2 linked regions of the Rattus norvegicus genome follow. The protein of the gene in region 1 purifies or fractionates together with the protein of each later gene. This does not show direct contact. Links are inferred from orthologs where the notes say so. Each region holds a gene or a part of one and is shown in the gene's direction. Other genes may lie near its edges.

Region 1 (4,474 bases):
CAGGCACATAACCCAGTAAGGGACAGGTCTGCTTCTTTGTCACTAGGGTAAATGAAGACCAATGGTCACCTCCATATAATCCATACAATAGGCATTGTAAGATAACTTTTCCCATCTTTGCGCTCATAACTAAGCCTGCCTACAAATCCGTCAAGCCTATACATGCATCTTTCCAAGACCTCATAAATGAAATATGAAAACTCTCTTCAACTTATTTTACACGTTTGATAACTTTTAAAAGGATACTGTTCATTAAATATTATTTTCGAAGTTATTATAATTGGAATTTTATTCAAAACTTTTAGCTGCTCTTTCCTCCTTTTTTTTTTTTTTTTGGTTTTTCCTTTTAAATGAATATCATGGTGTGCTTTGGGAGACAATTCATATGAAAAACAATTCAAATTGTTTACGCGACAATGGGAAAGCCTGTTAACCTTCGTGAGACATCTTGGAGACTGCCTTCTAAAAGATAAACACATTTCTACCCCATTAGCAGCAGAATCTGCATCTTCTTTGAATTAAAACTGTGTGCATCAAGTAAAGGGATTTTTTTTTAAGCTGTAAGTGTCCAGCTCTCCAAGTCGGGGTGGCGGTGGCGCCGGGTCAGCGATGCGATCTTGATCTTAAAAGCTGCACTTCCAACTTAGAGTAGGTAAAATTCATTCCTGAGAACTGAGTGTATCTGACACACAGGTCAGGTAGGGCGCTTTTGAGATGCTCTGGCTTTTCCCCCTCCGCCTGCGTAGGAAGTGGGGGTATTTTAGTTTCAGGCTCCTGTCATCCTCCACCCCAGGGATCCAGACAGAAACTACCACACAGTGACTCTAGAGCACCAAGTCCCCCTGCTGTTCGGTCATTTGGTCCCATTGCCACACGGGGACATAAGGGCATGTTTGCTCCTACCCCGGGGCACCTCTGCATCTCTGAGTACGGAGGGGACTCGGGACAAAGAGAGAAATCGGGGGATCAAGGAGAATGGAGGGCCAGGGAAGGATCCGGGAACACGGGCCACTATCGGGAGGAATGAGGGGGATTGGGCATATGTCTGCTCCCTTGATTTGCTGGGTACCGGTCCGGGTGACCGGATCAGAAGGTGCAACCGAGCAGCCGGGCGGCGGGGACAGGTGCCCGGTTGCCCCGGCCAGGTTCCCCTAGCTCCGGCCGCTCCGGCCGCACTTCTACAACGTTAGGCTGTGCACCTCCCAGCGCCGACTCCTTCGGCGCGCCGTAGCCCTCGCCTTATATACCCTGCTAAAAATAGCCTGCGAGACGTCTTTCCAATCAGCGCAGGCCGAGTTCGAATTGCACCAATAGGAAGGCCTTTAATGGAGAGGCTCGGTCACGCCAGGCGGGGCCGCTGTGTGACCGCACCGGCGATTGGTGCGAGCTGACATCATCGTCGCGCAGCCCCCGGGACAGGAGCGGCAGGATTGGGTACCGTGGGGGGCGGAGCTCCAAGCTGGTCACGTGGGGGGAGGAGGAGTGGGGGGAGCCAAGCGGGGGAGGAGGGGGGAGGCTGGCAGCGGAGCTTTGAATAGGGAAGTTTTGCAGGGGTTACGCTTGCAGTCAGTCCGCTGTTTGCAAATATTGCGTGGGCTCGGCGCGCTGCGGGCTGCGGGAGGGTCCGGACCCGGCGTCCGATTGCAGCGCCATCCAGTTTGCATGAAACTTTCACCTGCGCTCCCGGGAACAGTTTCTGCTCCGACTCCTGATCGTTCACCTCCCTGTTTTCCCGACAGCGGGGACTGTCTTTTCCAACCCGACATGGATGTGCTCCCAATGTGTAGCATCTTCCAGGAACTACAGATTGTGCACGAAACGGGCTACTTCTCGGCTCTGCCGTCCCTGGAGGAATATTGGCAACAGGTAAATACGGATTTTTTTTTTTTTTCACCTGCCCGGTGCGCCGAGGAGGGAGTTGCGCGGAGGAGCAGGCAAGATGGTGTGTACTTGGAAGTGCATCTTTTTTAATGATGATTAGCATTTGCCTAATTTAAAATAAAATAAAATAATGATCTTAAGATGTCCTTCTGCTGCTTGGAATGGTGAAGGCACTGTAGAGCGAGCCTTCGGGAGCGAGGAGTAGAGTTGTCATTTGTGTGGAGGCGAGCTCTCCTTCCCAGTACGTTTTTATTTCTTCGTTTTTGTTTCATTTTTGCTAATTCCGAGCTTCCGAGCAGCATACACCTGAGGGGGGGACCCCAGATTCCTCTGGCCGATCCAGACCTGAACCATTGGCACAACTTTGGGGCTTGTACCAGTTCCAAACTCCACAGCTGGACCCTGTCATATGAACGAGCTTGCCTTGACTGCCAAAAGATTTGATTTAAGGATTTTGGTTTTGTTTTGATATTTGTACATCCAATTTTTTAAAAAAGTCTTAAGATATTGCTCGCGGAACGCAGCGGTTCTTTTTGAACTCAAGGCCATTTACAGTTTCTTTTTCTTCTGGATAATGTCTTAGCATTCACGTATGTCTGCCTTGTTTTTCTTACCTGCTTTTCTTGTTGACTGCGCGGCGGGTGTGTGTGTGTGGGGGTGCTGTTTGCACACAAGTGACTTGTCAGTCATATGACAATGAGTCCATTCCTAGTTGCTTCGGTTCTTACTTTGGGCAAGAAAAATCTCCAATTCCGGCATTTAAGTGGAACTAGAATTTGGGGCAACGGAAATAAAAGAAACACCCCTTCCCCCTTCTAAGTCTTAGGATTCTGTGAGTGGCAAAAATATATATATTCTCAAACACTTTTACCATTGTCTTTAAAACCATGATGATTCCGTGACCATCTCTCTACCCTTCTGGGCTGGCTTTTTTTTTTTCCTCCAAGTGAATTAGCAGATGAAATATATTCCGTGGGTTTCACAACCTCCCAGGCTTTAAAACGCAGGGAAAGCGAAGTGTTGGCTGAAACCTCCACATGCCGGCTTAATTGTTCACAATCCTCTCTGCCTTTCTCTCCCCCTCCCCATTTTTCCTCCTCAAAGAAGCTGCTCCCTGGGACGTGATTGAAATTGATCTTAGTAGTTTCCTTTAGGCTTTTGGGATTTGGGCAACTAGCCAGACTTGGCTCCTGGTCCCCTTCAGAGCCTTTTAAACTCCCAGAGAGCTTTGGTCAGGTCCCCACTGCTGCTCATCAGTATAATGGAGATTTTAAATTAGCCAGTTGATTAAAGTTTAACAAGATCCTCATAAATGAGCTCGCCATTTCTTTGGCACATCAATAATAGGTATCATCATCTCGATTCTTAATACTGTATGCACTGTAACAGACATCGAATTTTGTGGGGAAAGAGAAAACAAGCATGTGCGTACACACACACACACACACACACACACACACACACACACACACACACCCCTTCCGTGGCTTGCTCATGCTTGCTGTATGAAGCCGCCCACAGGGAGGGCTGAGGATGTGTGTATACTGTGATAGAAGGCACATTGTTAAGTATGCATTAGCCCTTTGGCTGGTGGTCCGTGCTTAAGATGGTCTGTGCCCTGATAACTATCTATATCTATATCTATATCTATATCTATATCTATATCTATATCTATATCTATGTATATTTGCAGTTTAGTGCCGAAATTTCTGTCTGTAGAATAGAATACACAGAGGCACAGGCAGCCTTATATGGGCATGCAGGCAAAGCTAGTGAAAAAATCAGGGCCCACATAATTGAATCCTAAAAATCTTCCCTACCATTTTTCTCTTCCAGTGGCTAGAAAGTTTGAGATGGTAGGGAGATGGGGATTGCCAATCTCTGAAGTGTGTAGCTCCCTGAAAGGTTGGTCTCAGGGCCGGGGAAGGAGCAAGCACTCTGTCCGTGGCACACTGCATGTACATTTGAGCCGAGTTCTTATTTGGCTGCTGGTCAGAATTTCAAAAGGAAGTCTCCTTTGGCATTGCGTGAAAGAAAAAGGAGTGATGACTCATACTGTTGTACCCTTGGCCAGGAGATAAAGTCCTTGTTCATTGTGGGACTCCCAGAAGAGCCAGGGAGTAATTTCCCCCTTTCCATTTTTTACAATAGCAGATGGCCATTCTGAAAGAATTCATTTCTGTTGTTGAGATTTCTTGGTTCTCTCTGGCCAGTGTGAAGAAATCATTAAAGTTTGGTGGTATCCACAGTCCGGCACTTGGGAAATGACATTTAAAAACATACATGTGTATATGTATATATGTATATATATATGTATATATTTATATAATCTCCTAGGTCTCAGCTACACAGCAAAATGAGAGGTTTCTTTTCAGATCTATATTGATGTCTGTGAAGTGGATACAGACAGATATCTGCTGTCTGTATTCTGACTACAGTCCTATATTGCCAACTGTGTCCCCCAAGGAGGGTCTTCAGACCACACCGTGAGCTGCGAAATCTTTCTGACCTGCTGTGGGAATCCTCCTGGATGGTGGATGGCTGGGGCTCTCTCATTGATGCTCATAGTTCTAGAGAATGTCAGAGGATCTGG
Region 2 (4,309 bases), on another chromosome or scaffold:
GGACACATTAAGTGCTTAACTGTAGATAATGCAGTGACTATATTAATTCCAATTGTTAAACGTGGTGACAGCCGTCAATGACAAACTATTAAACAAGGAGAAAGGAGGCAAAATGGAGGCCAGAGATTGAGGTGCCTAGGGCAAATTCTCTAACCTTTTTGATTGCAAAAGTAGGTTACCGTGCTTTCTACTAGGAGGGTAAATTGAGTATTTTGAGAGCTTGGCTTCACGAAGTTCTCCAGAGTGCGTCATTCTCAAAGCCGAGTGATGGGAGTGAACCCTGCCTGGCCCGTGGTTTAGCGTGTCTGGGGCAGCTTAAGAAAATGGCGTTTGCTAGAGCTTCCCAAAAGCCTTCAGCTCAGTGGACTTGGGTTTTCGTGTGCCGTCACCAAGCTGTCGTCCCGCCCGCCGCCACAGGGCTTCCACCCACGGCGAGGGGGAGCCGCCCGCCCATCCCGGCAGGGGTGACATTCGAGAGGTGCTGTGTAGGAGCGGTGAAGGGAAAACTCGAACGGTCCCGGGTGACGCGACACCCTCGCCCTCGCGCGTCTCAGCGCTGACACTTGTGGAACTGCAAGGCTCCGCTAAAGCGTACCACCTAACGAGGAAAAGAAGCCTCTTGAGGAGGGCCAACATGGCGACCAACTCCACTTGGCACAGCCCGGTTCCCTCCTCATGAGGGGCGGCCCTCTAACGACTATTGGCCAAAGCTAGAGGCGGTGCCAGGCTGCTTTCGCTGCCTCATTGGCCTGAGTATCTGAGGGGGAAGCCTGTTCTCCTCTCCCCATTCCAAGTTCCAGCCTTCACCTTCTACTCGGCGTTTAATTGGCTGTTCATTCACGTCAATATGAGCCCTGTTCCGGTTCTTTTCAGTTGTTGTCCAATCAGAACTTTCTTAACTGCCCGCCTGAATTCTGATTGGTTTAGAAAGCTTGATCCTGTCCTATTCCGGCCTATTTCTTACTCTTCTCCTAAACGGACTTTGCCCAGGCATGCCCAAGATTCTGGTTGGTCGTTGTCCTGTCTTTCTTACCTAATCTCCTCCTATCCCCACCGCTCACGGAGCCCGCCTGGTGGTTGACTGGTTTCTCTGCAAGTCCATCTTCTCATCCCGCCCATCACCACTTCCCGAGTCTCTAATTGGTTGTTAAAACTGAGAGGGCGGCCTTTCTGGGCGGAAACCAGGCACGCAACTTGGTCTTACACGCCTCAGAGAGAGAGCGAGTCTTGCCATTGGGTAGACTGCCCGCCTTTCCTCTGCAAGTCCCTCCTTTCACCCTCCTTCATTGGGAGGGGCAGCAGATAAGGGGCGGGGACTAGGCCGGGCTTGTGGCGCGCTGCTCCCTCCTCCTTACCCCCCCCTCCCTGTCCGGTCCGGGTTCGCTTGCCTCGTCAGCGTCCGCGTTTTTCCCGGCCCCCCCCAACCCCCCCGGACAGGACCCCCTTGAGCTCGCCCCTCAGCTGCCACCATGAGCGGTAAGGATGAGTCCACTCCAAGCCTAGGGGTGGGAGGGGAGTGAGGGGGCGCGCGCGAGGGCCGACCGGGCGGTCCCCGCTGTGAGGGGGGGCGGGCGGGAGGCGGCGGCGGCGGCCTTGGTCCCGCCCGGGGCGGAGGGAAGGGAGGGAGAAGGGGCAGTGGCGGGGCCTCGGAGGAGGAGGGGGATGGGCTACCCGCCCCGGGGGAGGGGGCAGCCTGGCCTCGCCCGCCCCCTGCCCGCCCCGGCCACGGGGGACGGGCCTTACCCCCCACTACCCGGCCGGCCGCCTGAGGCTCCTCCTGTCGGGGGCTGGCGCCGCGGGGGCGGCCCGACCAGTGCAGGCCCCGCCTGGGCCAACCGCCTCCCCGGTCCGCCCTCCGGTCCCAGCCTGCTCCAGGCCCTCCCCCGCACCCCCGTAAATTTCCCTTCCCCCATCCGACCCGCCCTTGCCACGCCCCTAACCCCGAAACCGCCCCTTCCTTCTATGGCCCGGCCCCTCAGCCCCAAACCTGGGTTCTAAGCCCTAAACCATTTTAGCCTCTTACCTGCCCTCTTCAGATGTTTCCTCACCTCCACTTACAATTTACCCTTTCTCGGCCCCTTCCTGTTTTTGTTTACACTTAATCTGTCTCCATCTCTTTTAGTCCTAATTTTAGCCCACTTTCCATCCACCTATGTGTTGGGTCTCCTTTTCCTTCCAGGATGCTTTTTTGTTTTTCTTTTTGAGATAGGGTCTATGTGGTACTCGTAGTAACTCGAAGTTACTATGCAGACCTCAAACTTTTAGCTACCTAGTTGCCTGCCTCTTCCTCCTGAGTGCTGGGATTAGAGTGTGCCATCACTAGGCCCCACTTTTTTTTTTTTTTTTTTTTTAATTTCTGAGACACTGCTCTCAAATTCCCTCAAAAGTGCTGTTTGCATTGAGATCAGTTCTTACTCTGTAGGTCTGGCAGACCTAGAACCACCTGGCTCATCCTTCCAAGTCTTGGGATTATAGGTGTGAGTCACCATGCCTGGCTTCCAAAGCAATTTTTGAGTCATTTCTGGGGTTAATTTATGCCTGGGAAAATAGTGACCTGTCTTGGACACCATTAAGCCATGTGCCTGCTCTGCATGCCTATGGCTTTGGCATCTCAGTTTAATGTGTAACTGAGAATTTCTTTGAACTCTTGTCTCCACTTCCAAAATACTGGGATTTTAGGCCTACCACCATAACTAGCTGTATCTGACTAATACCTTTAAAAAAAAACATTTTATTAGTCATTGCTGGTGGTCAAAACGTTAATTTTAAATCTTAATGTTTTTCCCCCTCAACTTATTTGTTTTGTAATTATTTTTAGACCAAGATCACTCAATGGATGAAGTGACAGCTGTGAAGATTGAAAAAGGTGTTGGTGGCAATAACGGGGGTAGCGGGAACGGTGGTGGTGCCGCCTTTTCTCAGACTCGAAGCAGCAGCACAGGCAGTAGCAGCAGCAGTGGTGGCGGAGGAGGGCAGGTGAGTGATCAAAGATGGGGAAGGTATTGAAAGGGTATAAGTATTCTTAGAAACCTCCTTAACCAAAAACTCTGGGAGAAAGTACAGTAGGGAAGTACACACAGAAAGATAGGTGATCTAGAGGGTCCCCAAATAGGAAAGTTGGAACAGTACACAGAAGTTAGCATTTTGTTTCTGGTTTTTGCTCTTTATATGCCTGCATTGTTGCTGTTTGTCTGTTGAATACTGCCCCCTAGGCCAGCTATTGGGTGCCACTAACTCCTTTCCTCTCTTCTGGCCAGGAATCCCAGCCATCTCCTTTGGCTCTGCTGGCAGCAACCTGCAGCAGAATTGAGTCACCCAATGAGAACAGCAACAACTCCCAGGGTCCGAGTCAGTCAGGGGGCACAGGTGAACTTGACCTCACAGCCACACAACTTTCACAGGGTGCCAATGGCTGGCAGATCATCTCTTCCTCCTCTGGGGCTACCCCTACCTCAAAGGAACAGAGTGGCAACAGTACCAATGGCAGCAATGGCAGTGAGTCTTCCAAGAACCGCACAGTCTCTGGTGGGCAGTATGTTGTGGCTGCTACCCCCAACTTACAGAACCAGCAAGTTCTGACAGGTCTACCTGGAGTAATGCCTAATATTCAGTATCAAGTAATCCCACAGTTCCAGACTGTTGATGGGCAACAGCTGCAGTTTGCTGCCACTGGGGCCCAAGTGCAGCAGGATGGTTCTGGTCAAATACAGATCATACCAGGTGCAAATCAACAGATCATCACAAATAGAGGAAGTGGGGGCAACATTATTGCTGCTATGCCAAATCTACTCCAGCAAGCTGTCCCCCTCCAAGGCCTTGCTAATAATGTGCTCTCAGGACAGACTCAGTATGTGACCAATGTACCAGTGGCCCTGAATGGGAACATCACCTTGCTACCTGTCAACAGCGTTTCTGCAGCTACCCTGACTCCCAGCTCTCAGGCAGGCACGATCAGCAGCTCTGGATCCCAGGAGAGTGGCTCACAGCCTGTCACCTCAGGGACTGCCATCAGTTCTGCCAGCTTGGTGTCATCACAAGCCAGTTCCAGCTCCTTTTTCACCAATGCCAACAGCTATTCAACAACTACCACCACCAGCAACATGGGAATTATGAACTTTACCAGCAGCGGATCATCAGGGACTAGTTCTCAAGGCCAGACATCCCAGAGAGTTGGTGGGCTGCAAGGGTCTGATTCTCTAAACATCCAGCAGAACCAGACATCAGGAGGATCACTGCAAGGAAGTCAGCAAAAAGAGGGAGAGCAAAGTCAGCAGACACAGCAACAACAAATTCTTATTCAGCCTCAGCT

What was found.
Region 2: the proteins of Klf6 (region 1) and Sp1 purify together in Homo sapiens (affinity purification with western blotting, with the first as the bait; 3 studies listed by BioGRID). This does not show direct contact. The link is inferred for Rattus norvegicus from reciprocal best matches to the Homo sapiens genes KLF6 and SP1.

The regions. Positions count from the first base shown.
Region 1 is NC_086035.1:69,455,525-69,459,998, reverse strand, and holds the start of Klf6 (Krueppel-like factor 6), read left to right. Parts: upstream 1-1,520; 5' UTR 1,521-1,662; coding exon 1,663-1,866; intron 1,867-4,474.
Region 2 is NC_086025.1:135,418,619-135,422,927, forward strand, and holds the start of Sp1 (transcription factor Sp1), read left to right. Parts: upstream 1-1,431; 5' UTR 1,432-1,469; coding exon 1,470-1,476; intron 1,477-1,620; exon of another isoform or gene 1,621-2,477; intron 2,478-2,818; coding exon 2,819-2,976; intron 2,977-3,257; coding exon 3,258-4,309. UniProt on the Homo sapiens protein: Transcription factor that can activate or repress transcription in response to physiological and pathological stimuli.